Saccharomyces cerevisiae S288C: one gene and its partners. The gene in region 4 interacts genetically with the main gene of each other region. Each region holds a gene or a part of one and is shown on either strand. Other genes may lie near its edges. The genes, in order: BST1, ELO3, ARV1 and GUP1.

The links.
Region 1: mutations in GUP1 (region 4) and BST1 together harm fitness less than expected from each alone (positive genetic interaction), as found in Saccharomyces cerevisiae (4 studies listed by BioGRID).
Region 2: mutations in GUP1 (region 4) and ELO3 together harm fitness less than expected from each alone (positive genetic interaction), as found in Saccharomyces cerevisiae (5 studies listed by BioGRID).
Region 3: mutations in GUP1 (region 4) and ARV1 together harm fitness more than expected from each alone (negative genetic interaction), as found in Saccharomyces cerevisiae (4 studies listed by BioGRID).

The regions. Positions count from the first base shown.
Region 1 is NC_001138.5:81,479-90,806, forward strand, and holds BST1 (Bst1p), read right to left. Parts: upstream 5,757-9,328; coding exon 2,667-5,756; downstream 1-2,666. Other genes in the region: GTPase-activating protein GYP8, read right to left, coding at 1-434; alpha-factor pheromone receptor STE2, read left to right, coding at 1,102-2,397; EPL1 (Epl1p), read right to left, coding at 6,369-8,867.
Region 2 is NC_001144.5:863,189-870,326, reverse strand, and holds ELO3 (fatty acid elongase ELO3), read right to left. Parts: upstream 2,974-7,138; coding exon 1,936-2,973; downstream 1-1,935. Other genes in the region: VID22 (Vid22p), read left to right, coding at 1-1,665; Rho family guanine nucleotide exchange factor ROM2, read right to left, coding at 3,543-7,138.
Region 3 is NC_001144.5:621,598-628,594, forward strand, and holds ARV1 (sterol homeostasis protein ARV1), read right to left. Parts: upstream 2,287-6,997; coding exon 1,321-2,286; downstream 1-1,320. Other genes in the region: CSC1 (Csc1p), read left to right, coding at 1-1,224; putative signal sequence-binding GTPase GPN3, read left to right, coding at 2,606-3,424; methionine aminopeptidase MAP1, read right to left, coding at 3,571-4,734; CDD1 (cytidine deaminase), read right to left, coding at 4,905-5,333; palmitoyltransferase ERF2, read left to right, coding at 5,521-6,600. UniProt on the Saccharomyces cerevisiae protein: Mediator of sterol homeostasis involved in sterol uptake, trafficking and distribution into membranes. Also regulates the sphingolipid metabolism. Required for growth during anaerobiosis and sterol uptake.
Region 4 is NC_001139.9:346,099-354,287, forward strand, and holds GUP1 (O-acyltransferase), read right to left. Parts: upstream 6,201-8,189; coding exon 4,518-6,200; downstream 1-4,517. Other genes in the region: YGL088W (uncharacterized protein), read left to right, coding at 1-103; E2 ubiquitin-conjugating protein MMS2, read right to left, coding at 308-710, 796-806; coiled-coil domain-containing protein MAD1, read left to right, coding at 1,021-3,270; LCL3 (Lcl3p), read left to right, coding at 3,518-4,342; SCY1 (Scy1p), read left to right, coding at 6,960-8,189. UniProt on the Saccharomyces cerevisiae protein: Membrane-bound O-acyltransferase involved in the remodeling of glycosylphosphatidylinositol (GPI) anchors. Acts only on GPI-anchored proteins, but not on free GPI lipids.

The DNA of each region.
Region 1 (9,328 bases), on a different chromosome or scaffold from region 4:
GTTGGGTACTTTCTCAATACCCGAGTAATTAACTCCACCAGTAGTTTTCTCAATTGCAGTTTCAAGTTTTTGTCGACAATTCCACCAAAAGACCTTTCTGCATCCAATATCACCTGACCTTCATCTTTATGTTTTTCCACTGGTGTAATGTACTCTGTTGCATCATCAATAAGCAACTGGGACGCCAATAATTCATACCAACAATCTTTTCTTAATGAGTTGTTTACAAACCCCAGAGGCCCTAAACCTATGTACCTCAAAGCTCGGACATCTTTTTTCTCTAATAACTTTGATATAACTTTTCCTTTTTGTTCTTCTGCCTTTCCACTGTCACAACGAGAAAGTGATTCCAGATATGCGTTATAACCTCCCCTTGTCAACGCGTCTTTGTCGTGGCTACTCTGATTAGTATGAAATAATGACCTTAATGGCATCGTATTTTGTTAATTGGCTTGTTCTATGTCATTTGCTAAATTTTCTCTTTATTTCTTTACTTTGCCAATTCAAGATAATCTTCCCTTCCCAGAGAGAAAAAAGGAAAAATTTAGCTATGAAACCTCAATAAGCTTTTTAATACACCAAAGATTCAAGATAAGAGCATAGAACGAACTGTAGAATAGTCCGGATATGTTATCCAATGCCTGCCAAAATGCATTGTCACACGCTGTAGTGCTCGAATAGGTGTTGCAATCCGTCAATATACGTCTTGCTCTGTGGGTAAATGTCTCGTGCATTAAGACAGGCTAGTATAAACGAGAAGAAGTATCCTGCTTTGCAATGAAACAATAGTATCCGCTAAGAATTTAAGCAGGCCAACGTCCATACTGCTTAGGACCTGTGCCTGGCAAGTCGCAGATTGAAGTTTTTTCAACCATGTAAATTTCCTAATTGGGTAAGTACATGATGAAACACATATGAAGAAAAAAGCTTTCCTACATATTCAAGATTTTTTTCTGTGGGTGGAATACTATTTAAGGAGTGCTATTAGTATCTTATTTGACTTCAAAGCAATACGATACCTTTTCTTTTCACCTGCTCTGGCTATAATTATAATTGGTTACTTAAAAATGCACCGTTAAGAACCATATCCAAGAATCAAAAATGTCTGATGCGGCTCCTTCATTGAGCAATCTATTTTATGATCCAACGTATAATCCTGGTCAAAGCACCATTAACTACACTTCCATATATGGGAATGGATCTACCATCACTTTCGATGAGTTGCAAGGTTTAGTTAACAGTACTGTTACTCAGGCCATTATGTTTGGTGTCAGATGTGGTGCAGCTGCTTTGACTTTGATTGTCATGTGGATGACATCGAGAAGCAGAAAAACGCCGATTTTCATTATCAACCAAGTTTCATTGTTTTTAATCATTTTGCATTCTGCACTCTATTTTAAATATTTACTGTCTAATTACTCTTCAGTGACTTACGCTCTCACCGGATTTCCTCAGTTCATCAGTAGAGGTGACGTTCATGTTTATGGTGCTACAAATATAATTCAAGTCCTTCTTGTGGCTTCTATTGAGACTTCACTGGTGTTTCAGATAAAAGTTATTTTCACAGGCGACAACTTCAAAAGGATAGGTTTGATGCTGACGTCGATATCTTTCACTTTAGGGATTGCTACAGTTACCATGTATTTTGTAAGCGCTGTTAAAGGTATGATTGTGACTTATAATGATGTTAGTGCCACCCAAGATAAATACTTCAATGCATCCACAATTTTACTTGCATCCTCAATAAACTTTATGTCATTTGTCCTGGTAGTTAAATTGATTTTAGCTATTAGATCAAGAAGATTCCTTGGTCTCAAGCAGTTCGATAGTTTCCATATTTTACTCATAATGTCATGTCAATCTTTGTTGGTTCCATCGATAATATTCATCCTCGCATACAGTTTGAAACCAAACCAGGGAACAGATGTCTTGACTACTGTTGCAACATTACTTGCTGTATTGTCTTTACCATTATCATCAATGTGGGCCACGGCTGCTAATAATGCATCCAAAACAAACACAATTACTTCAGACTTTACAACATCCACAGATAGGTTTTATCCAGGCACGCTGTCTAGCTTTCAAACTGATAGTATCAACAACGATGCTAAAAGCAGTCTCAGAAGTAGATTATATGACCTATATCCTAGAAGGAAGGAAACAACATCGGATAAACATTCGGAAAGAACTTTTGTTTCTGAGACTGCAGATGATATAGAGAAAAATCAGTTTTATCAGTTGCCCACACCTACGAGTTCAAAAAATACTAGGATAGGACCGTTTGCTGATGCAAGTTACAAAGAGGGAGAAGTTGAACCCGTCGACATGTACACTCCCGATACGGCAGCTGATGAGGAAGCCAGAAAGTTCTGGACTGAAGATAATAATAATTTATGATCAAAATTTACGGCTTTGAAAAAGTAATTTCGTGACCTTCGGTATAAGGTTACTACTAGATTCAGGTGCTCATCAGATGCACCACATTCTCTATAAAAAAAAATGGTATCTTTCTTATTTGATAATATTTAAACTCCTTTACATAATAAACATCTCGTAAGTAGTGGTAGAAACCACCTTTGCTTTTACGAGTTCAAGCTTTTTTCTTGCCATGATCTAGAACTCTCAGGCAATATATACAGTTAATCTTTTTTTACTGGGTTGTAGTTCTAATGTATTGTTTCGAAAAATAGCAACCAGGCACATATTATGTTCACCAAGTGGTGTATCCAGTACAGATTTCTTATTCCATAAATGAAACTGAAAACGGTTAAGTACACAAATAAAATGATGGTAACTTTACCATCCCACGTGTCTAAAGGTACGCTGTTTGGCATTTTGAAAATAGAATTATTTCCAACCAAAAAAATAATTGGTGCCACTGCTAGTATATTGTGATGGGATCTAAATGAAGTTTCCCATTTGATGGCAACATTATGCAGGAAAACAATAATGATAGGGATGTTAATGGCACTAACAAATAATAAAAGCAGAAGCAACGTCATATTATAATTTAGTAAGTTCAATTTCTGCTCGTTGTTTGATAGTTTCAACAGCGCTACTCTAATGCAGGTAGCAATTTGGATTACTAATGAGATAACAAACGCCATCTGGTATGGTATGTGAAAAAATACCAACAGTAATAAAAGCACAGATGCCATTAATCTTCCCTTACCATACGCTTTATGTTCAATAGTATCAAAAGCCTCTTTATCTTCAGTGTTTTTCTTTGATAACTTCCGTTGAAGGAATATTACTAAAATTTCCAAGGATCCAAAAATCTTAGAAACTAGTGCTAGTAATCCAACTGTCATAACCCCAAAGAGAATTCCAATAGTTGACATAAACCAATCTCTGATCCCCAAATAATAAAAATTTGCATGCATGTTTCTCTCGGATAGCAGAAATGGATAATTTAAACCGACAGGATCCAATAAATAAAGTATTCGTTGTACCAACTTATTATTAACCACAGGCGAAGCTAAGAACAGCGTAAAAAACATTAATATTCCGTGCTTTCTTAAAATATATCCCAAAGTGCTATCAAAGGAAGGAAACTCAGATGTCTTGTTGTACCAGTAGAACTGGTATGACAGTACGAGTGCTATAAACGCGACTGGAAAAGATGCTAGTGCTAATCTGTACCTGATAAACAGCATTTTCAAAGTTAAAGACCAATTAATAGTCATTTTAGCTTCTAAGGACATTCCGGGTGGAATAAAAAAACTTAATTGTAGCGATCTCGGTTCGCTTTCATTTAATGGGATAAACGGTGCTACATTATGCATATTTATATCGAGACTTTTGTTTATAATATTTAGATGCCATTTAGACTCGAAAGGTTCGTAAACCCATTGCCTTATGAAAGGCTGAAACAATGTCTCTTCGGAAGCAATACCTTCGTTGCTTGCCTCAATCTTGGTTTCTAATTTGTACGATAATAAAGAATCCCACAAATTACTGAAACTTATAACCTGCTCGATGTCTTTGCCATCCAAGTGTAGTTGTTCTCCAAAGAGCAATATTTGAGAAGGTGTAGTATTGACTATTTGTACATTGGAGACGTTGCGCAGTAATGCCAAAAGAAACCCCTGATTGTCCTCCATGCCTTCTTGTTCTGAAAATTCACCGTAAGTGGGTTTGCTTATCATCAAGTAGTCGTACTTCTGTAGTATATTCTTGCCAACACTAACGGCTTTAAACGGATTTTTTGCTTCTCCAAAAGAAGAATCAGCTGCGAACTGAGTATCTTTTGAAGACCTGGGCACTGTTAGAATACTATCAACAGCTGTTATACAGCTTAGATTCACCCTGGACTCTGTACAGAAATAGATCATAGGCATATCGAGACTAGTTAATAATGTGAAATGCAGGTGTTCAGTGGAGGAGATGTTACTCGGAATATTTATTTTTGTATAATTGTTGTGCCACTTTTCCAGGTTAAACATTTCAAAATCTAGGACATCGTTCATTTCCAAAGTAGCGTAATCAGAAAAGAAGTTGTCACTAAATTCTTGTAAGTTTTCTTGAGGATAATTTAACTTACTATTCATCCATGAGTAGTCTTCAAACCCTGAAAGCAATAGTTTTCTAGCGATTTGCAATCTCTGATTCAATGGCTTAACTTTTTCAGGTTTGGAGGCATCTATACTTTCCAATAAAAGGCGCGCTAGTACCTCTCTTAATTGCTTGCACCAAACAATGGCTAAATGATCAATTGGAGTCCAAACATCTGGAATAGTAGTTGTGAAGCTGGTGAACCCATTTTCTAAGCTAACCAAATCTTCTACAGATGCATAATCTGCAGGTAAAGTAGTATCCAATATACCGCCTGTAATGGAAACCAATGAAATGTTCTTAGAGAAAAAAGAATCGTTTTGGGATAACTGCTTTCTCCAATATTCGTTTGTATTTTTGTAAAGCTTTAAAATGTCACCATCAAAGGTTACTGGTGAAGCAGCATGAGGTGATGATAAGGTCAATATGGTGCTTATACTTCCCGGTACGTGGTTCTTCAAAGTTAGCATGACCCTGGATACAATACCGCCCATGGAATGTCCCACGATAATAACTGACTGCGGTTTTGGATGTGGGTAATCAGGGGTCCTTTCGTAAAGAGACAAGATGTACTTAATGGCATCATTTAGGTATTCAGCTTGATCAAGCATTGTTTCACCATGAAACGCAGTGAAATCTTCATTGAAATCTGCCGTAAAGAAGTCCAAATTTCGCACATTTTCGTTACGCAGAGTCGCCCTGGTATTGGAATCAAAATATATATTGGAGCAAGCGGAAGCAATCGATCTGCATTGCCTAAAAGAACCTGCATTTCCGGGTATAAAAAGTACAGGGATACCATCAAGTTGTAACTCATCACCATTTAAAGGTTCTCGGTCTACGCTTTGTTCTCGATACAAGTAAAGATGATACTTGTGTGCCAGTGGTGTATACCTCTCGTCAAATCCATCGATCCTTGCGTAAGATGGAAACATATAGATAGATTCACACTGAGGAGCATCTGCACCATTAAAAGGTTTCAGTAGCGATATCAATAAAAGCGAGCAAATGCTTAAAATGCCAAGAATAGAGAAAAGGCGATATGTGTAAGGTTTTTTTGCTATCTTATCATTGTTCATATATTTGGGGGAAGCTTTATCCTGGTCTTCACGCGTAGCGAGTACTCTCGAGTATTGACCAGATGAGTTAACTTTATTAATTATGGGCCGCGTTATAACACTAACTAATCTCCTGATACCCATAACGAAATGAAGATTTTTGTATGATGGTAAGCCTAAGATATAGGCCAATGCTTTAAAGTAGAGGGAGTATTTCGAGTGTGAATTTACTATCAGATGGAACTGCAAGGAATGTGTTGAGACTCATTTTTACTTTTTCTTGTTATGACTTGGTTGGTATATTTAGACCTTTTTCAAAATTCGCGCCATACAGGAAAAAAAAATGGATAATAAGAAGAAATGCATTTATTTGAGGGTACCTAGTGAGTTATGCAATTGTCTATATAAGAGTATGAATCTAACTTAAATACATCAAGCATTTGGGATGAAATCATGCGAAAAATCAAAAGGTCACAACCGTGTGAAATGGAAATTAAAAAAAACGTTAAAAATATGTAGTCTTGTGAAGGTGATAATATTACAGCCGGATGATACTTGCTATTTTTCTTTTGAAATTTATTGTAGTTATCTTTTTTTGTTTTTTGTTTTTTTTCATTATTATTGCGTTATCGGTGTTCATTTCGGTGATTTGAATCTTCAGTAATGTTGCCTCGACTTTCGTAGTAAACTTTGAATGTCAGGTTTGTTAAATGCCAATGCGTAGAAAGATGTTCGAGAGGTACAAAGTTGTGCTGCTCATGATGAATTTTTCTGGGTTATAGAAGAGTTCTGTTTCGCTTCTGAATTGATTAACGAATCATTTAATTTTTTTAGGGAGTTCGAAGAATTTGAATTATTGTTCTGTGATTTCTGCTTTTGTTGTTGTGCTTGCTGCTGTTGCTGCTGCTGCTGTTGTTGTTGCTGTTGTAAATGTTGTATATGCTTTTGTTTCAGTCTGGTGATATAGTCCCTACGATACTTTATGGTGGCTTCCCTTAATTGTTCGTAGGACTTCGTACCCAACATTGTTCCGAATCTAATCACCTGAGTATCATTTGAAATCTGGTTAAGTCTTGCCGGTTCATCTGAAAACTTGATCCCATATTCATTTTGTGGAGAATCATACTTCCACTTGTCGTAAAGTCTGACAAATTCGTCGTATTTGGAATCGTAAACATTAATCGAGTCAGTATCGTTACTACCTTCTCTTGAATATTGTTCTTTTTCGATTGAATCGAAATCTACAAAATCCATTAAAGAACATGCAGACTTGGTCGACGATGTTGTAAAATTTGGCATACGATCAACATACTTAATATTAGATCTACCAACTCTCTTCCTGAATTTTATTGGATACTCTCTCGAATGAATTTCCAAATTTTCTTGGAATGGGTCGTACAGTTCAGTTTTTTTGATTCTTTTGGTATCCAAGTTGTAATTATCTTTGTTTCTCGAACGGCCATTTGAATCATATATTCTGATGTCATCAGATATCCCCTTCAAGTATTCTGGTAAATGTGAAGAATAAAAAGATCTATCTATCTGAAACTTGGATGACGCGATAGATGCAAAGGGAACATTACTAGTCGAAAAATTTTTAGGCAACGACATGTCAAATACAGGATTAAAGGGATCGTCCGTTAAGTTGAAAAAGACATCTGCGTCTTCAATTTTCCGTTTCTCCATCTTTTCCTGAACGAACTTTCTTGCATTTTTTTCTTTGCTGTTCAATAGAGCATCCACGTCTTCCAATACAATGTCAGGAATTTTGGAAGATGGTAGTTTGACATAAACATGAGACGTAATTGGCTGTGATGTTGAAGAAGAGGATGCATTCGCGAGTTGCTTTCCGTTTTCAGTCTTAAGGGCATTTTGCTGTTGTTGTTGTTGTTGCTGTAACAGTTGCTGCTGTTGCTGCTTGGTGAGCCTAGAAGATTTGTCTTCAAGTTGGTTATTCCTTTTATTGTTCTTTGCCTTCGCTGCCGCTGCTGCAGCAGCTGCTCTCTTAAGTTCAGCTTTCCTTAGTTCAGCTTCCCTTTGTTCGACCGTAACAATCGTGGGGCGTTTTCTCTTGTGGTTAATCAAGTCATCGTCTTCTCCACTAATGTTCAAAGATCTTTTCAAATTCTTAATTTTTACCCTTTGATCGAATATTTTTAATTCATCATTAATCCAATTTAGGGAAACGTTCTCACGTTTAGCAACAAGCAGGGCCAAGTCCTTCGCGTTTTTCAATTCTTGATGCAACGCCCTTAAACGCTGACTGTTTAAGATATCTATACGTCTTGTTTTCCGCGGATGTCTCACTTCTCTTCTTCTGAAACAGACGTAGGGATCAATCTCTTCTTTTTCACCCGGCCTTTCAAATTTCAGCTGCGGAAAAATTTCGTACCCGTTAACTTCAATTTTTCTTTCTCTCCAATAATCATAAATTTTAGAGCCGAACTTCTCTATCAGCTGAATTAAAGGTCTCGTATTCATTTGAGATACGGGGTCGAATTGTGTGATAAAATGTGTTTTATGAGAATTTATTTCATGATTCAGCTGGTTTCTTAGATTGAAATCAGCCATATCTGATTTTATTAATGTGGGCTTCAATTCTTCAAAAGAAAGTATACTTTCCGGATCCATACTCAAGAATGGTTGACGCTCGTGAATAGCATGTTCAAAACTGGAACAAAGTATTTCAAATTCGTCTTCAGTTAAAATGTCTGATGAACCTTTGTTGACTTGTTCATTTAAAAAGGTCTCATCTCTTTCATCCATATTGTAGTTGGTACCACAGCAATCCTCCACAGTGGCAGAAAATTTGATGTAGCTGGTGGTCTCCTGGAAACTGCCCGTATAAAACTTATCATATTCATTCCAAGTCATAGAAGCATCCGGGGTCGGAATATAGTCTTTGTGCTTTGTATGACCAGAACCCATTTGTAATATTCGATGCAAATGGACCTCCTTTTCTTCATTTTTTTCTACACCAGTTTCGATCTCAACCACCTCTCTCTGTTGCAATTCATCTTTATCCAGGTGTTTCAGATCGTTAGGCAGATATATCTTAAGATGTTGCTTCACAGATATTTTTCGATGTCTAAATCGACTATTACTGCTACCAGCACTGGCTCCAGCACCTGAATCGCCTTTTGAGAATGAATCTAGACCGTCATCGTGCGCACTCCTAGATCCAGACCGCCTAGTGCTTCTACCAGATTTATGCGAACCGTCATTGATCTCTATAGCGTTTGAAGGTGTCGGCATCGTTATTATCGTTATTTGCTAATGTTATTACAATGTTTTTATAAGCACGTGACTATAATGTTACCCTATCGTGTGCAATTTTTATTTATGTTGACCTGAAGTCCGCAGTTGCCGTACAATGTGAGAATATGGACAAAAGGAAGGCGAGGGTGGCAAAAAGAGGAGTCAAAAATAGATAGCGTTTATTTTATTATAGCAGCTCAGAGGAACGCGATGTGGTGTAATAATATTGCGAGTGTCTAATGACCACCAGAATACGAGCACAGTTTTGGCTGATTTTTGCAAACTTTTTTGCTTTTGTGTAGTAACCTCTCACAGGTATTGCTTGTATGCTATACCATGTGATATGTAATAGTACAATTTTGTGGTCGGATCGTGCTTTTGCCACCCGCGGCCGACGGAGAAAATTTTTTTCCTCTATCCCTTTGTTTCTCGCTTACTCCTGCGGTATGGGGTGCTAA
Region 2 (7,138 bases), on a different chromosome or scaffold from region 4:
GTGATTTCTATCACTCTACCAAGATCTCAAATAGTAGATCTACTAAACGTAATGGATAGCCAACCCTTTTTCCCGAATACGTATACGAATGCTAAAAACTATTATCACAATTGCATTATTTCCATAATAAATTCTGCGATATTGCCATTGTTCGGTACGCCTAAATCCGCCGATATTACGCATCCGAGACAATCATCATTCTCCAAAGAACCTTTGACTTTATTGGACTCTCTAATTGATTTGTCAAATATAGATATTTCGAATTCCATTTTTTCCAGAATCAATTCTTTTTTGGATGATTTACAATCTAATTCGTGGCAGTTAGATAAATTCCGTTCATTGTGTGAAAAATTTGGCTTCGAATTCGTTTGTTCGAAATTCGATTTATCCCGTTACTCTACCGCCACCGTTTCACTGCAAACTTTTTTGAACCTTCGTCCCATAATAGAAGAATATCAATCTTCTATCCAAATTGAAAAATTCAACGAAATCGACTTTCAAATAATAGACTATTTATTAATTACTTTGAATTCCATCAATAGAATACTAAAGTTCTTTACTTCTTCCAAAAGCTTAAACTTTACCTATGTTTTGTTCGCCATAATGTCTATTGAAAAGCATCTGTTGTCCACCTTGGGCAGCCTACAATTTCAACGGTTAATTGCACCATTTGAAACATTTTTGTCTAAAATTCAAGAATTCAAAACCATTTTATTTTCAGACGATATGAACCTTTTAGCAATGTTCTTGTGTCCTGCGATTTTATTCGAAAGAGAAGTCCTGGAATATTCTTTTCATACCATTTCACTTTCTGAAATAGTCGACAAACTTTCTACATCAATTTTCAGTTTATTGAAAAGGTTTTTGAATTTACACACAATAGGCAACGTTAACAACAGTCATAATACTTCCAATCATAGCAACATGAACATTCACACTGATAATCAGACGAACAACATCAACAATAGAAGCGGCAACAACAGCGACAATAATGATAACGAACATGATAACGACAACGACAACCACTCGAATTCAAATACGCCCGCATCAAGAATAGATATAGATCCTACTGGTGGAGAAAATTCTGTATTACCGGAACAACAACCACAGAATAGCAATAATAACCTATCATTTGGTTCTCTTAGCGATACCCATCATTTATCGGACTCTACCATATCAAAGGAAATAGATAGTATCTTTTTACAAATCATTCAAGAGGACTTATATGATTACTTGAGTACAGTAAACTCCATCGTACCCATATCTTACAGGTCGTATTGTGAACAAAGCAATTTCATTAGAGATAGTGGCCGTTTCAAGAAGAGAATAATAACAGAGGACTCTATTATTGGAGAGCTAGAACAACCAATGAACTTCATTGAAGAGTTACTTGATATCCATGTTCCTGTGTGTAACGCGTTCTGGTCCCAATACTTAGATAATGATGCTGGGCCGATAATTAGAATTTTGTTCAAGATAATGCAATGTCAGTCATCTTCCTCCATTAGGGGAGAGTACTCATTTTTAAATGACTTCATTCCCAGAGTACATCCCGATTTAACTCAAGAGATTATTAAAATTAAATTATTCAATGATCAATTCGTGGCAAGTAAAGTGGATTACGACTTGGACACTTTACAAACTGCAAGTCAGTATCTTCCATAGGACATACAAAGGAACAAAGTCTGTTTGTTTTAAATTTTAGCTGCTATATAATTTTATTTTATAATTGTAATGTATCACTACTCCTCACTGTAAGCGTGCAATTCTTTGGGCAGCTAAGGAAATGATTAATCAAAATGGGAAAAACACCAAGCCAATAATCTATCATTTCTATAATAATGATTTCATTTATCGTACATATTTAATATAAAGAAAATGTTAACATTTAATTTTTTTCTTTTTCATTCGCTGTCAAAAATTCTCGCTTCCTATTTAAGCTTTCCTGGAAGAGACCTTGGTGTTAGAGGTCTTGACACCAGTAGAAGAACCGGATGCAACGGAGCCGGAAACTTCAGATTCCTTCTTGACTGTCTTTTTACCACCTTTCTTGTAAGATTGGATGTAGAAGGAAATAAACAAAAGCAAATAAGATGTTAGAATCAAATACCCATAAGCAGCAGCAGCCTGAGTACCATAACAAGTACCCTTGTTTGGTAAAATACCGTCCAAGTATTTGTGAGCATAGAATGTATAGGTAGCAAAGTAAACAAATACCAAGTCAATCAAAAATTGAATAATTTGGAATCTAGTGACCCATTGCTTCCACCAAACTCTAATACCACATGAACTCAAGAAGTAGTACCAGTACATGATAACGTGAACACCCAAGTTTAGTAGGATAACTACCCATTCAACAGAAGTACGACCAATTAATTGAGTGTAGCACAACAAAGCGGTGGCACCGTGATGGTAAGTGTGCAAAAACAATAACTTCTTTCTTCTCAAAACTAAAAACACAGTGTCAATCAATTCTACGAATTTGGTCAAATAGTTCAAATAGTAAAGAGTAACTAATTTTGGTGCGAAGGCTTCCTTAGAGCAGATAGACCAGAATAGACCGTTGTGATAAACCATAGGAACCAACTGTTCTAACATCAGCAACCATAAAACTAGAGAAATAGAAGTCAAAAACAAGTTGTGTATCTCGAAAAGCAATTTAAACTTTAATGGAGAGGCGTTCAAGGCGCGTAAGATAGCTTGGCCACCAAAGATAATAATGTAATAAACGATAATAATACTAACAGCATGATACCCGTTAGCCAAGAAAGTCTTATTGTGAATAAACTCGAATTGCTCAGCTGGATAGCCACTAAAGTATTCAAACACTTTGGAGAAAATTGGCCATAATTCAATACCGAATGGGTTCTCAATGGAAGGAACATGAACCTTCAAGAAACATGAAGAAGAAGAGTTCAAAGACTGGAACTGGTCGGCAACTGCTGCTATAACAGTAGATGTGGTAGTGTTCATGACTGTTTATGTTTCGTAAACAAACGGAAAAAAGCCGAATAAATAAACTAGAAGTAAGCTTGAAGCGAGTGAAGAGCTGTCAAAAACCAATCAATGACCAAATAAAAAGACACCAGATATGCGGAAAATACACAGTACCTAACTGGGGTAATAAGTTAAATAAAACTTCAAACAAGGCTAAACAACAAACAGAAGACTCCAGATAAATATTTTATACAATTATTTACTAAGAACCTGTGAAAAAAAAAAAAGACAAGCCAAATGCGTAAGCCAACCTTTTGTTTATTCACAGTCTGGAAAATTTTCTGAAAATTTTTCACTTTGTGGACGGAATAAAAACTTCGAAGCTTTGGGAAGAAAAATTTCGCGTTTTTTTTTCTCGCGTCATCAATCATTTGCATACAAATCCCTCTGACGGTGAATTATCATTATTATATTATAAAATTATTATTTATGTCGTTTTCCACTATTGTCATCAATGTTTATTATTCATAATTCTGCTCCTTTTACAACTTTAGTTATGCTTTTTATTCTAAAGAAAATAAGGAAAGTCTATATACGTTGCTATCTTAACCCCAGAAATCTAACGACGCAACTGTATCATACCCGCGATAATCCTCGTAGCAGTACAGGATTTCTTGAGTACTTGTTTGTAGAAGTCGAATCTTATCAGCAAGGACGCAACGAATTAATTCGCCAGTTTCAATCTTTCTGATCTCAATGAAGTTGCTGTCGAATGCCAAGATGTACGGGTACCAAATTGCAAATTTTTGGGGCTCTCCCTCCCAATGAATAATATGCGATTCTTTCTTTCTCCAACCCTGATTATTGACAAAGAAGGCAAATTCTGTGTAACACAGCAAAAACATATTTCCCACACGATAGATTGCCATTGGTTTCAAAGTATCCCTTAGTGCAAACTCTAATGATGTATCGGCCGGATCTAACAAGGATTCATGAGCATTCTGTGAAATGCTAACGATCTGAAAACCCTTTTTACAGCCAATGCATAGGTTGGCCTTGAGAAATGAAATAGAGACAGGTTCAGAATCAAAAATAACCTCGGTGATTTTTTTCTTGAGACTTTTTTTGTTACCGCTACCACTACCATTTTTTTCGGCCAATAATGGATGTTCATGCTCGAAGTACTTAATTGAATGCGATGAACTGTGTGCAGTCACGATTAATCTCTTACCATTGCAATCTCCTTCTGCGAAGAAACTCACATGATTGATCAGTTCCTTGTGATGCTTTTTGAAGAAAGATGTCCCATTACCTTCTGCTTCGATTAATGACAGCGGACAACTGTATAATTTTTTATCAATTAAAAGTATGATTGATTTGAATTCTTCTAATACAGCAATTTGAGTGATATTATTTCTTTGTACTAGTTGGATTGGAGTTGAAAAAAAAGCAGAGCTTTTATGTCTATGATCTTTATTCTGCTGTCTTTTAATGTTGCTCATATACAATCCAGAGTTCGTTGCAATCAGAAGTTTTCTACCCCCATCACAGGAAGTAACACTGTTAATTTTGTTGGTGTAATCGAAGAACCTATCGCTCATTTTCGTTACATTGAACATCTCCGTTTTGCTTATAATAGCTGCTTGTCCTTGCTTTATTTTTTCCAAAAGCGTTTGCAATCCAGCGTATTGCGCAGCATATAATGTAACTTGATATCTCTGCTTGGCACCGTAGTATAAGAAAGTTATTGCGTTTTTAGGATTACTCGTGTTGTATTCTGGTTGAATTACAGTTCCTGAACAATCTGGGTGGTCTCCAATATATTTCCTCAACGCAGGCATATCTTCACCTGGACATGCAAATAACAATGGCAATGGAATGGGCCTTTGGAATACCTTATGCTGGTGCCATTTATTAACTGCTTTGGCCTTTAAAAATAAGAGCATATTATCTAGAAGATAAAATTGTATGTCACCAACAACTGTTCCGTCCGATTTTGACAACTCCTTCCGTGATAGTATACCTTCATGTTTAATTTTTCTCCTTTCGTCATTTAATCCTAAATTAACGTATTCGTTTTTGAAAAGAATCTTTTGTTTCAACAATTTTACATCATGTCTATCTTGTGCAGCACCACTTGCTTGATCAATCCTTTTCATAAAATCCCTTAATGCATCCATGGCTTTGCTTAAATCTTCATAATCACTTTTGTCCTTCTCGGGGTCAGTAGATTTCATGATTTCTTTGACCAATAGCATATATCGACCTGGTCTTGAAACACCTTGAGATAAAAACGAATCAATACCATGACGTAAGGAGGAGCTCATCATATCGTCATCAAATCTAGCAAAATAGGGATTGACTGATCTTTGGGTTTCAATCAAGTACTTCGCATATGGTCTTGAAGCGACATATGAAACAAATGGTTCAAAAAATGGAATGAATCTTAAAACAATGTCCCCAATTCCTCTCACAACTGGTGAACTTCTTTGCCTATCAGTTAAAGCCTTCAAAAAACGTCTATTCACTGAATAGATATCGTTTATATGTGCAAAAACATGCTTGATGAAATTTTTTCTAATATCTGCTGAAATAATATTTGTTTCAGCCAAAGTCTTCATGAATGTGTCTCTTGTAATTTCTAATGATTTTACAAAGTTCTTCTCCGTGATATAAACTTCATAAATAGCCTCTTGTCTTTTTATTTCCTTTTTTGGTAAGTTTTCCCAATCCTCTTTAGATACGGAACTTGTCCAAGATGGCTTTTCTTCGTCATCATCATCCAATGCCATTGATATATTACGTTTCAGGCCGCCATTTGGTTTCAGATTTAACCTTGCTTGTTGCTCAAGACGTCTTGGACACGAAATAGAGTAACACAAAGCGTCTCTTGTGCACGTAGGGGAATAGCATTCCGCCAGTAATGTAAACACACCATTGACGTTATGAATGGCTGCAGGGTTCTTTTGCTGGGACAATGAACTACTCATATGTAGCCTCGACCCTGTCAAAGTTGCCTGATCACTATTCAAAGATGAAGTTGAACTTGATGGAACCATTCCGGAATTCGGATAAGAGTGGTTCCCGGAATTAAAAGATGATGAGTTTGGGAGTAGCATCAGTGGATCATGGGCGTTTGTGGAACCTGTTCCTGTAAATCTTGAGTTATCTGTAAATTCGTAAACTTCATGTGGTGAATCTCTTAACCTGTGCTCGTATACCACATCATGGAACAGCTTTTGTGCATCTAGTGATCTACCAAATAACAAGGCTAAGTTTCTATCAGAAGTTCTAATGATAGCACAGATGACATCGACTGCCTGCTGCCCTGTAAATGCGTCACGGTAAACTAATCCATCCTTCTTATGTTCCCCGAGTTGTATCGAACTTTTAAATTTTGTGGCGACTCTTGACAACAAAGCTGGATATACCTGAGGTTTTTTTGATGAAGCGCTCATAACAGGTCTAGATGCCGACAAAGGTGTCATACTACTTCTACGTGGAGAAGATAGAGAAGTTCCTGAAACCGAAGTGTATCTTTTTAAAGCTAATGAGGTGGAAGAAACTCTCGTTTTAAGACCCAACCCAATATTAGACGAGCTTCCCATAACACTTGAGGAGTTTCCAGACCCGTGGACATTATTTAGGCTACTGTGACTGTTTGAAGAGTGATGATGATGATGATGATGATGAGGATCTGAGAATGGGTTGGAAGTTATATCATATTTTTGCGTAGCTTTCCTGCTGTTAGAAGTCTTCGATTGAAAAGATGATGCAATATTTTTTAGAGTAGATGAGTTCAACGACATCGATCTAGATGATATAGAATGTGAATGTTGAGGGTAATTACTGTTACTACTACCCACTTGATAATGTGCGCCATTATTATTAGTATTATTATTATTATGATTGTTAATATTATTATGCTGAATATGCTGGTGATGTTGGTGCTGTTCGTGCAAGTCTTTGGAACTTGGTCTCGAAAAGAAACCAAACCCTTGCAAAGGCGATTTTCTAGCCTGTGTAGGAGTGGTTGATGCACTGCCGGTGGAAAAACTGCTCTGCTTCTTAAGACCAGCAAGTGCTAGTTGCGGGAGCGAAGGTTTCCTCTTAGGCACAAAAGCTGTAGTACTTTTATTCTTCTGGTAAACTTCATTTCTTGGAGACATTGGAGGCAAAGGGTGGTCATTATAGTGCTTGG
Region 3 (6,997 bases), on a different chromosome or scaffold from region 4:
CAACACTACTCCGCAACACCTACGGCATTCGTTACGATGGATTCTGTTGCTAATGCGCAAATGGCAGCTCAGGCGGTATTAGATCCTAGAGTACATTACTTCATAACCAGATTGGCTCCTGCACCTCACGATATCAAGTGGGATCATGTTTGTCTTTCTAGAAAGGACCGGTTAACAAAAGTTTATTCTACTACCGTATTTATAGGCCTTTCAAGTTTGTTTTTAGTCATTCCTGTATCATACTTAGCCACATTGCTAAATTTGAAAACACTTTCGAAATTCTGGCCAAGCGTAGGGCAGCTACTAAAAGATCACCAGTGGGCCGCTAACATTGTAACGGGGCTATTACCAACCTATCTCTTCACATTGCTTAACTTTGGAATCCCCTATTTTTACGAGTATTTGACTTCTTATCAAGGATTGGTATCATACAGCGAAGAGGAAATCTCACTTGTTTCAAAAAATTTCTTTTATATTTTTGTCAACCTTTTCTTAGTTTTCACATTGGCAGGTACAGCATCTAATTACTGGGCGTACCTCAGCGATACCACCAAAATTGCTTATCAACTTGCTACATCTGTGAAGGAGTTCTCCTTATTCTATGTCGATTTGATTATATTGCAAGGTATTGGTATGTTCCCGTTTAAGTTGTTATTAGTTGGTAGTTTGATCGGCTTTCCTCTAGTGAAAATCAAGGCTAAGACACCTAGGCAACGGAATGAACTTTACAATCCACCGATATTTAACTTTGGACTACAATTACCACAGCCAATTCTGATTTTGATTATAACGTTGATCTACAGTGTAATGAGCACGAAAATTTTGACTTCAGGGCTGGCGTACTTTATTATTGGGTTTTACGTCTATAAATATCAATTGATTTTTGCCACAGATCATTTGCCCCATTCTACAGGAAAAGTATGGCCATTAATTTTTAGAAGAATCATCGTTGGATTGCTATTGTTTCAATTAACAATGACAGGAACACTGGCAGGATTCGAAGGAGGATGGGTTTTGTCATCTTGCCTTTTCCCGCTTCCAGTAGTGACATTATGTTTCCTATATGATTTCGAGAAGAACTATTTGCCGTTGTCAAAATATATCGCATTGAGTTCAATTCGCGAGTACGAAAGAGACAATTCTACGGTGAATTCTGCCAATGAGGAAGAGTCGTATGCATACCCTTACGCTGTGAGTGAATTAGAGGGTCCGATGTTGGATTGAAATCCCAAGGTGCTATTTCTATATTTATATATTTTGTTGTGAAAATGCCAAAATAAGATTTTTGATACAAGTAATACTGGATATTTTTTTATTTGCTTATAACAATAAATAAGTTCCTGACTTCTGTAGTAGTAGTATAAACTCCTGATGTATTAAATTCTTAATAACTGAAAAGTTAAACTTTGCCACGAAAACTATAAGTATTGGCTTAACCATGAAATATCGTAATAAAGACACACTTATAAAAATCTTTATGATATTCCAATAGGAAAGATTAGTTACAATCTTCAACGATTCAATAATATAGAGATTAGCTACCCACTTAATGATACTCATCGAAATTAGAGTATCATAAGGCCATATCAACATCAATATCGGAAAAATTTTGGCACCGTACGATAATAAGATCGTATATGATATGACATCCTTTGAAGAAACGGAATAGTGCTTCCAATGCAACTTTTTCAGTATGAAATACTGGGTAAAGGTGTGGAATAAAGAAACGTCAAGAATACAATAACTTGCAAAGTAAAGATATTGTATTGGTGGGCTCCAGGTAAACACTTTACTTGTAATGGTATTGCGCATGATTGCCGAGTCCCATTTGAAGCTCTCTGGTAATTTTTTTGAAAGCATGATGAGCTTACCATCATTATTGTTACGGTTCAAATAGTAGATGTATTTACTCTCCTCAGTAACCCAAGTTAAATAAATCTCGAATGATAATAGTAGAAGCCAAAGGCGATTTAACCGGTCATATTTACAAAACCAGTTCTTTACGTTAAATAACAAAGCTTGCGTATAGTCACGCAAACACTGGCAATCATTTAGCGCTTTTCTTTTCGGATATTTTGAGAGATGCAATTCCAAAGCATTGAATACCAAGTGTCTATATGCACCTGCTTTTAATAGAAGCAAATCAATGAATAACAGGACATTATCTATCTCAACATATTTGTCTACTGTCTCTTGGCAATATGGACAATCTGTCAGCTGAATGTGGTCATTCGAGTACACTGTATAAAGGGAATCTACGGGCCGCATGCACGTTATGCAAATCATCGTTTATCACAGCTAATATCTACTTTTTGATGCGCTTCATCCGTTCACTGACGCACCAAACCTTCCTTCTATGCAATGACAAGAATTTCTCAGCTTGATTTATGCCATTGATGTTTCTGAATCATCAATTGTTCACATAGGGCTATTCAATTTGGCCCGCTGTCCCTAAACTGAAAAAATACTAAGAAAAATTTTGCAAAAAATCTAAAATGATGAGGTGAAAGATCAAAAAAGAAAGATCAATAATTAAGAGGTTGGCAAGTCATCCTGATCGTGAAAAAAACTTAACAAGTACAAATAGAGTAATCAGCATTGGAAAATGTCTCGCGTTGGTGTCATGGTATTAGGACCTGCAGGTGCGGGGAAAAGCACATTTTGTAATTCCATTATATCACATATGCAAACTGTAGGACGAAGAGCTCATATTGTAAATTTAGACCCTGCCGCAGAAGCTACCAAGTATGAATTTACTATTGACATTAGAGATTTAATTTCCTTAGATGATGTCATGGAAGAAATGGATTTGGGCCCCAATGGTGCGCTAATATATTGCTTCGAATATCTTTTGAAAAATCTAGACTGGCTTGACGAAGAGATCGGGGATTTCAACGATGAATATTTAATCTTTGACTGTCCCGGTCAAATTGAACTCTACACGCATATCCCTGTCTTACCGAACATAGTGCGCCATTTAACTCAACAACTGAATTTCAACCTTTGCGCCACATATCTTTTGGAAGCGCCATTTGTGATAGATAGCTCAAAATTTTTTAGCGGTGCACTATCTGCTATGTCTGCGATGATTCTATTGGAACTACCCCATATCAATGTGTTGAGCAAACTAGACTTGATAAAAGGCGACATCAATAAGAAAAAACTGAAAAGATTTTTGAATCCCGATGCAATGTTATTAATGGAAACGGAAGGAATGAATCAAGCATCCAACCCTAAATTTCTAAGACTGAACCAGTGCATAGCCAACCTCGTCGATGATTTCGGTATGGTTCAATTTTTACCTTTGGAATCTAATAATCCTGACAGTATAGAAACCATATTATCGTATGTCGATGATATAACACAATGGGCAGAAGGACAAGAACAGAAAGAGCCTAACGACCAAATAGATGTCGAAGAATAGTTATAGAGAAAATTATGTACGCTTGATTCATATAAAAAGAGGTAAAAAAAAAAAATAGCTTCTCATAATAACCAATTCGGACTCGGGAAAGTACAAGTTCAAGTTTTTTATTGGTTTCTATATGTATAAGATAAAAATACCTAGATCTATTTAATTCTCTGTCTTGGGCCACCTGGTGATTTCTTATTCCTGGCTGTTAGGATTTCAACACCATGTTCGGTAACCAACAGTGTATGTTCAAATTGAGCACTCAGTTTACCGTCTTGGGTGGTAGAAGTCCAGTCATCAGGCCAGGTCATATCCTTCCAAGTACCTTCATTAATCATAGGTTCGATGGTGAAAACCATACCTGGTTTCATAACACCAGGTGTTCTATTCTTGGCGTAGTGGGGAATATTTGGGGAACAATGGAAAAATTCACCAACACCATGTCCACAATAAGTTCTTACTACACTGCACTTATTTTCGGTAGCGTGTTTTTCAATATGATCACCTAACTCTTGGAAGGTGGTACCTGGCTTACACATTTTAATGGCTAGTTTCAAACATTCTCTTGAGGTCTCAGTAGTATTAAGAGCTTCCTTAGAAATGTTTTCGCCGACATAATATGTCTCATTCAAGTCTGCATGATAACCTTGGTAGTATAAGGAAACATCTAAATTGACAATATCACCTTCCTTCAAGACAGTTTTATCGGGCACACCGTGACAAATAACTTCATTGACAGAGGTACAAAGCGATTTAGGAAAGTTGTAATAATTAAGAGGGGAAGGGTAGGCACCTCTCTTAATTGTTTCATTGTGGACGATTTCATCTAATTCATCTGTAGTGATGCCTGGTCTGACATGGGCAGCGGCAATATCAAGAACTTCTCTACCCAACATACATGCCTTTCTAATCTTCTTAATTTGATCTTTCTTGTATATAGGGATGTTGTTAAGTCTATCATTTCTTTGTTCACTGACTGGTAGCCCATTAGCGGCCCAGTCCGGTTTAGGAATATCTTCAGGGACATACCTTCTTGGGGTAAGTGGATATGAAGCCTTCACTTTACCAGAATATTTGAATTTTGGGAAAGGATCATAAGCACCTTCCAAGCCGTCCTTAGCATTGTGCAAAGCTTTGTGAGCTTTGTAGTTGTTTTCATAACAGCTTGTGTCGCAGAAAATGGAAACGATGCCTTGTTTTAGACAAACAGGGCATTTCATTTGGGACGAAGTTTCTCTACCACATTGCAAACCGGAGCAATATATCTTGGTAGGATGAGAAGCCTGATCGGAGGTAGTAACTGTTGTAGTTGCAGTGCTCATTATACAATTTTTTTGCTTATTTTTTTCTTGCTAGGAATATACACAATAGCGTTCTTGGGATGAATAATAATAATATCAGTTTTTCTTCTTTATATGAAAAATGAAAAAAAAAAAAAATAAGTAAAAAATTTTCGCTTTCTTTTCGGGGAGCAGCCAAATAAAGATTGCTGCTAGTTTAAATGAGATGGACCAAAAGCCATGGGCAGCAGTTCTCCCATTGTCATGACTTTAGAACGAGAACCTGTGGAATTAAGCATGACTATTGGAAAGTCCTTGACCACAAATTCATTGATAAACTGCCTGCAAACGCCGCAAGGGGAAACACACTGGTCCTCAGAATCGCCACAAATGACCATGCATTTCCATCCTGAGCGATGGCCTGCCATTAGAACTTGTATCATAGCAGATCGTTCTGCACATATACAATTACTGTAGCTTGCATTCTCGACATTAGCACCAGTGAAGATAACATCGTTATTTGTTAATATGGAACAACCGACACGGAAGTGAGAATAGGGGCTATAGGAGAGTTCACACGCCTTCAGTGCCGCCCTTTTTAAGGCTTCCAGTTGTCTGTCTTCTATGCCACCTACTTTCATTACCTTATTTCTCTGCTTGAGATTCTCTGTTTGGTTTTCCTAGTTTCTTGTACATAAACAGTTTGTGTTTATTTTGTCAAACTACTCGGAAATTGGCGAGCAGCGCCTTATCAAGATTACAGTTTGCAAATATAAAAATGTAAAGGAAAGAAAGCGTAAGGTAACAAGAAGAGAAACGGGGAAGATAATGGCCTTGGTCTCTAGAAGGTCGACAAGATCGGAAAGCACCTCAATAACAAAGGAAGAGCATACAGGAGAAGGTTCATTGACGAAGTTGTTCTTCCGATGGCTTGTTACCTTGGAGGGTGATCAGGATATAAACGATGGAAAAGGTTATATATCGTTACCGAATGTCTCGAATTATATATTCTTCCTTGGTGGCAGGTTCAGGACAGTAAAGGGCGCCAAACCGTTGTGGTTAGGTGTTCTCCTTGCTATTGTATGTCCCATGGTTCTCTTCTCCATATTTGAGGCTCACAAATTGTGGCATACCCAAAATGGTTATAAAGTGCTGGTCATTTTCTTCTATTATTTTTGGGTCATAACGCTAGCATCCTTTATCAGAACAGCCACTAGTGATCCTGGCGTTCTTCCGAGAAATATTCATTTAAGTCAACTAAGAAATAATTATCAGATCCCGCAAGAATATTACAACTTGATAACACTACCAACACATTCTTCAATTTCAAAAGACATTACTATCAAGTATTGTCCATCATGTAGGATATGGAGACCACCTCGGTCTTCTCACTGTTCCACATGTAACGTCTGCGTAATGGTTCATGACCACCATTGCATATGGGTCAATAATTGCATAGGAAAAAGGAACTACCGGTTCTTTTTAATATTCCTGTTAGGTGCAATACTTTCGTCCGTCATATTATTAACTAATTGTGCCATCCATATTGCACGGGAATCAGGGGGGCCTCGCGATTGTCCCGTTGCAATATTGTTACTTTGCTATGCAGGGCTAACCTTATGGTATCCGGCAATACTGTTTACTTATCACATATTTATGGCAGGTAATCAGCAAACAACAAGGGAATTTTTGAAAGGTATTGGATCGAAAAAAAACCCTGTATTCCATCGTGTGGTCAAGGAGGAAAACATATATAATAAGGGGTCCTTTTTGAAAAATATGGGTCACTTGATGTTAGAACCAAGGGGCCCAAGCTTTGTAAGTGCCAGAAAGCCACATGAAGCTGGAGATTGGAGATTTATGGATTTATCGCCAGCACACAGCTTTGAAAAAATACAGAAAATATAAGGAAGTATAGATATAAAGAACTCAGCGACACAGTAGTACGTAAAATATAAAAAGGTTACTGAAAGGAGTGAATTCCGCCATAGTATAGGTTGAGTATACGCAAATAAACGTTGGAAATTGGCTAGAATGTTAAAAAAAACATTCATTAAAAGGTTCTTTTCGTATAACTTTTACAACAAATAAGTGGTTGTTTGGCCGAGCGGTCTAAGGCGCCTGATTCAAGAAAATATCTTGACTGCAGTTAACTGTAGGAATACTCAGGTATCGTAAGATGCAAGAGTTCGAATCTCTTAGCAACCATTATTTTTGCCTTCCGAAAATTTTGAAGCTACATATTAGCACTCTTCTTCAGATGTCAGACAACGTGCAGCATCTTTTTTTCCTACCATTGAATATA
Region 4 (8,189 bases):
TTGGCTTGGACTGGAGAACAAATTTATCGATCTTGGGTGCAACAGTCTTTCTGTCGTCTGTTTTTTAGCAGATCTAAGGGTTTACCTTCGTGTGCCCGGATGAGGACCGTTGCAAGGATTGATAATACAACTATATACATCATTATCGTAGTGAATTGCACGAGTAACTTCTCGGCATGGGGTGAGTAAATTCATATTATGAAAGTAATTAAACTTACTACCTAAATAAGAGGATATCTATGTCTTATTGCTTGTATATATGAGTGGCTTGGAATGCTGCAAATACTGTTTAGGAAAAAGTAGATAACTAAAAGGTTTCTCCTTCCTTCGGTTGACGCAATTTCTTGTTCGCTGGGGTTGCCATTTCCTTTCTAAGATCAAGTAATAAAGTTTCCATGGTGTAGGCTCTTTTCCAGTCACGTAAGGTGTGGAAGTCAGTTTGGACCTCCCCCGTAGTTGGATTGACGCATGGTAGATTTATCTTGGAAATGAAAGTGACCTTTGGGGGAGAATCTGGATAGTTTGGGCCACAATCTATAGAAAGGGAATAGATTCTGTTTTCATGATTACTATGAGGGGGCCCTAAAATAGTGCCGTTCCATTTGGTCATGGTAATATCGTCGCTATCAGCTAAACCATAACTACATGATTCTGGACCAAACCCTTTTTCACCCTTTTCTAATTCTTCTAACAACCTAAAATTTCTTGGTCTGATTTACAATAGGACAGTGAGGGTACATTTCAAGAATTTGTTAGTATATGTTGAAATCCCTTTCAAAACTTATAATAACATACACTTTTGACATTTTTGTGTAAACGCTGCTTTCTTCTACGTTGCATATACAGAATAAGAATTTCACCACGACATCGAAATGTAATGAGCAGAGATTGTGTAGGAAGTTGATCTTATTTTAGTCTCTTATTTATCGCTAAAGGAGCAATGAAAATTGATAGCGTGTTACCCTAGGAATAATTCCTAACAATTTTTTCCATCTTAAAATCGAGAGGTAATAGTAAATAATGGATGTGAGAGCGGCATTGCAATGTTTCTTCAGTGCATTGAGTGGACGATTCACTGGAAAAAAATTGGGACTAGAGATCTATTCTATCCAGTACAAAATGAGCAATAGTGGTGGGTCCTCTCCTTTCTTGGAAAGCCCTGGAGGTTCGCCCGACGTAGGCAGTACAAATGGACAAAGTAATCGTCAGATTCAGGCGTTACAATTCAAGCTCAATACTCTACAAAATGAGTATGAGATTGAAAAATTGCAGCTACAAAAACAGACGAATATCTTAGAAAAGAAATATAAGGCCACGATTGACGAATTAGAGAAAGCATTGAATGATACAAAATATCTTTATGAAAGCAATGATAAATTGGAGCAAGAGTTAAAGAGTTTGAAAGAAAGATCAGCTAATTCGATGAATGATAAAGACAAATGCATAGAGGAATTGCGAACAACCCTCCAAAACAAAGATTTAGAAATGGAGACTTTAAGGCAGCAGTATGATTCGAAGTTATCAAAGGTCACTAACCAATGTGACCATTTCAAGTTGGAAGCAGAGAGCTCTCATTCGCTACTGATGAAATATGAGAAAGAAATAAAGAGGCAAAGTGTGGATATCAAAGATTTGCAGCATCAAGTGATGGAAAAGGATGATGAATTATCTTCGGTAAAAGCATCTAAGATGATAAACTCACATCCAAACTACTCCACCGAAGAGTTCAACGAGCTCACTGAAATGAACAAAATGATCCAAGACCAAGTTCAGTATACTAAAGAATTGGAACTAGCGAACATGCAACAAGCCAATGAATTGAAAAAACTTAAACAATCCCAGGACACTTCTACTTTTTGGAAATTAGAAAATGAAAAACTACAAAACAAATTAAGTCAATTACACGTACTCGAAAGTCAATATGAAAATCTTCAATTGGAAAACATAGATCTAAAATCGAAATTAACCAAATGGGAAATTTATAATGATAGTGACGATGATGATGATAACAATGTTAACAACAATGATAATAATAATAATAATAAAAATGATAATAATAATGATAATAATAATGATACAAGTAATAACAACAATATTAATAATAACAACAGAACCAAAAATAACATAAGAAATAACCCTGAAGAGATTATCCGGGACTGGAAACTTACCAAAAAGGAATGTTTAATTTTGACAGATATGAATGATAAGTTAAGATTGGACAATAACAATTTAAAGCTACTGAATGATGAAATGGCTTTAGAGAGAAACCAAATACTAGATTTGAACAAGAATTATGAAAACAACATAGTAAATTTGAAAAGATTAAATCACGAGTTAGAACAACAGAAGAGTTTATCTTTCGAAGAATGTCGATTACTGCGCGAACAATTAGATGGCCTATATTCCGCACAAAATAATGCTTTACTAGAGGTCGAAAATAGTGAAACACATGCGTCAAACAAGAACGTAAACGAAGATATGAATAATTTGATCGATACTTATAAAAATAAGACAGAAGATTTAACAAACGAACTAAAGAAGCTAAACGATCAGTTATTATCAAATTCCAATGATGTAGAAACACAAAGAAAAAAGAGGAAGTTGACAAGTGACCAAATTGGTTTAAATTATTCACAGAGGCTCAACGAATTGCAACTGGAAAATGTAAGTGTCTCGAGGGAGTTGAGTAAAGCACAAACTACAATTCAGCTACTACAAGAAAAATTAGAAAAGTTAACTAAACTAAAGGAGAAAAAAATACGTATACTGCAATTACGTGACGGCCCCTTCATAAAAGATCAATTTATCAAGAAAAACAAATTACTTCTTCTAGAAAAGGAAAATGCAGATTTACTTAACGAATTGAAAAAGAATAATCCAGCAGTGGAAACAGTACCCATTTCTGTTTATGATTCACTAAATTTCGAGTTGAAACAGTTCGAACAGGAAGTTTTTAAGTCAAATAAAAGATTTTCCAGACTAAAGCAAGTTTTCAATAATAAATCTTTGGAGTTTATTGACGTTGTAAACTCATTATTAGGTTTTAAATTGGAATTTCAACAAGATAGTCGTGTGAAAATATTTTCCTGTTTCAAACCTGAAAAATATTTGATTGCTGATCTAAATGAAAACACTTTGAAATCTAACCTTGATGCAGATATAGAAGGATGGGATGATCTCATGAATCTATGGGTGGAAGATAGAGGTCAACTTCCGTGCTTTTTGGCAACAATAACATTGCGTCTGTGGGAACAGCGACAAGCCAAATAAGTGTATATACATTTCTAATAGATAATAGTAATCGGTTTTATAATATGATAAACTCCTATCCGCTGACATAATTGTTGGTCACAAAATTCTTTTATCTTTCTTCATCATTGACCTTTTATGATTCCTTTGGTATGCAAAAAAAAAAAAATTGTGTTGAAGAATAAAAACAAATTACAGAATAAGTCACACATGATATAAAAAGAAGCCCAGTTTTTCATAGCTATTAAGGGGGCATAAATGCACTTATATGAGGGAAGGTGATTCTAATTCAAAAAAATCTGCGGATGTTGCTGTCCTCTCCATCATCCTTACGGGTTCGACCTTAACATTGATCTACACATATAAAAGGTATTTAACTCAATTCAAAAGAACAAATGATATACCGCGAAGAATATTTCGTAAACACTGGCTTTATGGTAAAGTCACGTCTGTAGGTGACGGGGACAACTTTCATTTCTTTCACATGCCAGGTGGTATAAGAGGTGGATGGGGATGGTTACGACCCGTCCCACAAATGATCAAGAATGATTCTACGGCAGAAAAGCTTGTTGGAGATAGCAGAAATATGAGGTTTTTCAATTTCAATTGGATTACGCATGGGAGGTCCACCAAAAGTAAAATACAAAAAGCTAAAAGCCAGTTCTTGAAGCTAAATGTACCTTACAAAAATAGGAAAAACCTGCCAACTATTCCTATAAGATTATGTGGAATCGATGCCCCAGAAAGAGCACATTTCGGTAACCCAGCTCAACCGTTTGGTAATGAAGCTTTAATTTGGTTACAAAACCGAATTTTGGGAAAGAAAGTATGGGTCAAGCCTTTATCTATAGATCAGTACAACCGTTGTGTAGCTCGAGTGTCATACTGGGACTGGTTTGGTGGGTGGAAAGACTTAAGCTTAGAAATGCTCAAGGATGGATTAGCGGTTGTTTATGAGGGTAAAGTAAACACAGAATTTGATGATAGAGAAGATAAGTATCGATATTATGAATTTTTGGCAAGATCTAGAAAAAAGGGACTGTGGATCCAGAATAAATTTGAAACGCCTGGTGAATATAAAAAACGTATTTGAGTTTTCGAGAGGATTTTTATCCATCATACTGCAGATTTTCATATTATATGTTCATTAGCTTTTCACGCTTCCTCTCGATATTTTTTTATTTATTTTCGGTTTCATTTTTGTACTAGTAGATAAAAATACATACATGATAGCAGTGTTATACAATTGATATTCGTAAATTTGGCATTCAGCATTTTAGGTAAATTCCGTGCCTCTTTTCTTCTTCTCTGATTTCAAACATTATTTGTACTGCGATGAATAAACTAACGCTTGCCAAAATTACAAATTTGAAACCAGATACGGTACAGAACATATCGCTTAGTAATTTTTTAGTACCGTCAGAGCCCAAGCAGAATCCAAAAAGATTAGCGATCATCATAACCCATATGTTGAAAACAGCACCGACAGCGCAAACGTGTCTGTACCAGACTGCGTCGGTATAATGAGAGAAAATTTGGGTAGCAAAAATTTCTGGTAAGAGGAACAAAACTATTAGCCAACCCCATAATAATAACTTTAGTTCGATGTCATGCCATATAGCTACGAAGGAAAAGACTGCTAGTGATGTCAAAACTCTATTTTTTGAACCACCTAGAGGAATATATATGTAACGGACAACCCACTTATTGTAGCTTCTATGCCAAGCTCTCCAGAATGCTAGTGAACTGTAATTGTTATCAACACACCTGATCATATTTTCAGGTGTATCGATTCCGTCTAGCAAAGCCCACAGCCTAAACAGCCTCCACGGAATCAGTAGTTTTAGCCAAATAATATTCAAATTAAATAAGCCAATCATGGAAATCTGGAAAGGTGTGTCATTTTCCCACGCTTTGGTTTTTGAGATTGCCACAACGTGGAGAAAGTGTAAAATGAACTCCATAGATAAGAGAGCAATAACGAATCTCACCGCATAGTAAAAAATGAATTTGAAATTTATTGATGGCAAGGTATGTTTCGATTGGTAAACATAATCATTGAATGTTATAATGGGGCCGGCAATGAAAAGTGGCGTGTAAGTAACATATGCAATATAATTCATTAAGCTGTAGTCCTGTATGGGGTGTGCAGCAGTTAATCTAGCACGTTCATTGAGCAAAATGGCTGATTTAGCTTCTTTTGATTCATAGGATGGACTTTTCTTCTTTTGTAAATTCTCCCACCTCTCTAAGAAGTCCAAGTTGTAACTTAAGACTCTCAAAAGAGTAAAATTGAAAAAGACATCCCATCTTGGAATGATACCTCTATACCAATGGTCCAATGGGCTTAAAAAAGAGCAAATATTACCAAATGGATATGCTCTGAAGTTGTCGTTAATAAAAAGCGTAGAAATACCATAAATCCAAATGCTGATGGTGGCTATTCTTCTAAAGTTCTTTAGTACATGGGCGATGGCATATAAAATTAGCATATGGGCTAAAATTCTTATCGAATTGACACCATGAGCGGCCACTAAAAAGATCAAACCAAATATCAGATCAAACCTCAATTTAGTGATATTTGTTGAATAAAGTACAATGCGTTTTATAGAAGTGTGGACTAGCATTAAAACTGACAATAGCGCAAAATTGTCCCTGAAAAACCTATATTGAGAATCACTATTGTCTACTTTTCTGCCAAATAACCAACCTTGAGATAGGAGACGTTCGTATCTTGCATAGTTTGGATTTTCGGGCGAACTAGCTTGTAACCCAGCATAGAACATCAAGGGAACCACGACCAGAAATGCAATGTAGTAGAATTTGAACTCAGTAGTTTTCCATAGTGATGGCTTAGTGGTAGTAGAGGCATCCTTTTTTGGTGAAGGTTTGATTCTTGAATCTAAGCCCTCGGAAGTAATTAGGGGAGACAGGATGCTGATCAGCGACATTTCTTGCAATTGTCTGTTAACAAATGCTGATTCACGCTTTGTTTTTGCCTTTGTATGATTAACATCTATATATCGAAAGCAATATGCTAAGTTATTATTCTTACCCTTTCAGTGTCCTTTTTGGCACACCCACTAAACATAAAGAGAAATACGTGAACACCTATACACCCTATATTATTTTGATTGTTCAACATTGCTTGATTCATCATCCATTCTCCAGCTCTCGAATCTTGTTTCTGGCTTTTCCAAGATTATGTGAAAATTAACTTACTCTTTTTGGTCGATAAATAATTACAAGTTCAAGTGCATGTCTAATTGGAAACTTATTTTTATGTCCGATTGAGCTGATGTTCAGCTAGTTTATGTTTATACAAGAAAAATGCTCACCCGTACATATGCTCCTTCTTCACTCATTTTCTTGTCCTGTTGTTGAGACATTCAACTTTGATCCTGCTCTTGTACTTTTATGATTCATTACTTATATATTGGTCTTCATTATTCTCGAGATGAAATTCTCAGGGTCTTTTAAAAAAAAAGTTTCAGTAGGAAAACTAAACGTAATTAAACTATTCTTCGGTTCGAACCTGAAGTTGCGTGAAAAAAAGGGTACTGCAGTCTTGAAAAAATAGAAGCCAAAAAGAAGTTAATATCAAAACAAATAAATCTTGCACATATTAAAGCGCACAAAAGTATTCAAAACAGTGTAACTTCGAATATCGTATCATTAAGGAAAATAGGACACACTTTGATTGAGCAGGGATGATGTTTTGGTCCTCAAAGACGGGTATCACGTCAAAATATTCATTTTCATCATCACCTACTTTCACAGCTGAACCATGGAGCATTTACACCGGTCGTCCCAAATCTTCATCTTCATCTTCACCTTCCAAAGTATCGATATTCATGTTTGACAAGAAGCAGTTCGAAAACTATTTGTTACACTATGGTATTATTAAATCCAAATCTGGATCCAGAGATAAAGTATTAATACAAGAAGCGTACGAAATATTAAGAAACCAGGCCAATAACTTGGCCAAGCTCAAGCACCCAAATATTCTGACTTTAATTGAACCATTAGAAGAACATAGCAAGAATTTCATGTTCGTCACCGAGTTTGTCACTAGCTCATTGGAGACCGTTTTCAGAGAAACCGATGATGAAGAGCAGAATTTCTTACAAGGTCATGTTAAAGATAATATCGTGGTACAGCGAGGTATATTGCAACTGGTAAATGCACTCGATTTTGTTCATAACCGCGCAAGCTTTGTACACTTGAACATTCAACCTAGGGCAATATTTATCAATGAAAATTCTGATTGGAAAATTTCCGGCTTAGGCTATTTAGTAAAAATACCACCAGGCACAAATACCTCTGAATACTTCTTACCTCAATATGATCCCAGAGTTCCCCCATTTATGCATTTACAATTGAATTATACGGCCCCAGAAATTGTTTTTGAGAATACCCTAACCTTTAAGAACGATTATTTTTCTTTAGGATTGTTGATATATTTTCTGTACACTGGTAAAGACTTGTTTCGCAGCGAAAATTCGACTAGTGAATATAAATTGGAGTACAACAAGTTTGAAAGCAAAATTAGTACAATGTCATGGGATAATATATTCAGTAAGGTTCCACAAAAGTTGAGGCATTGTATACCCAAGCTAATAAACAGAGACATCTATTCCAGATATGATAACATAACGTTGATTTTAGATTCTGAGTTTTTCCAAGATCCGTTAGTCAAAACCTTGAATTTTTTAGACGATTTACCTACCAAAAATAACGAAGAAAAATACGTATTCTTAGAGGGTCTCGTGAATCTGCTGCCAGAGTTTCCGCCAGCATTATTGCAAAAGAAGTTCTTGCCCATTTTATTGGAACTATTAAGTCAGTTTTGTGCTGAGAAGGTCGTAAGTGATAAATGTGTGGGTAAAAGTTTGGATTTGATAATCAAGATAGGGTCCACTTTATCTCAGTTGTCCTTT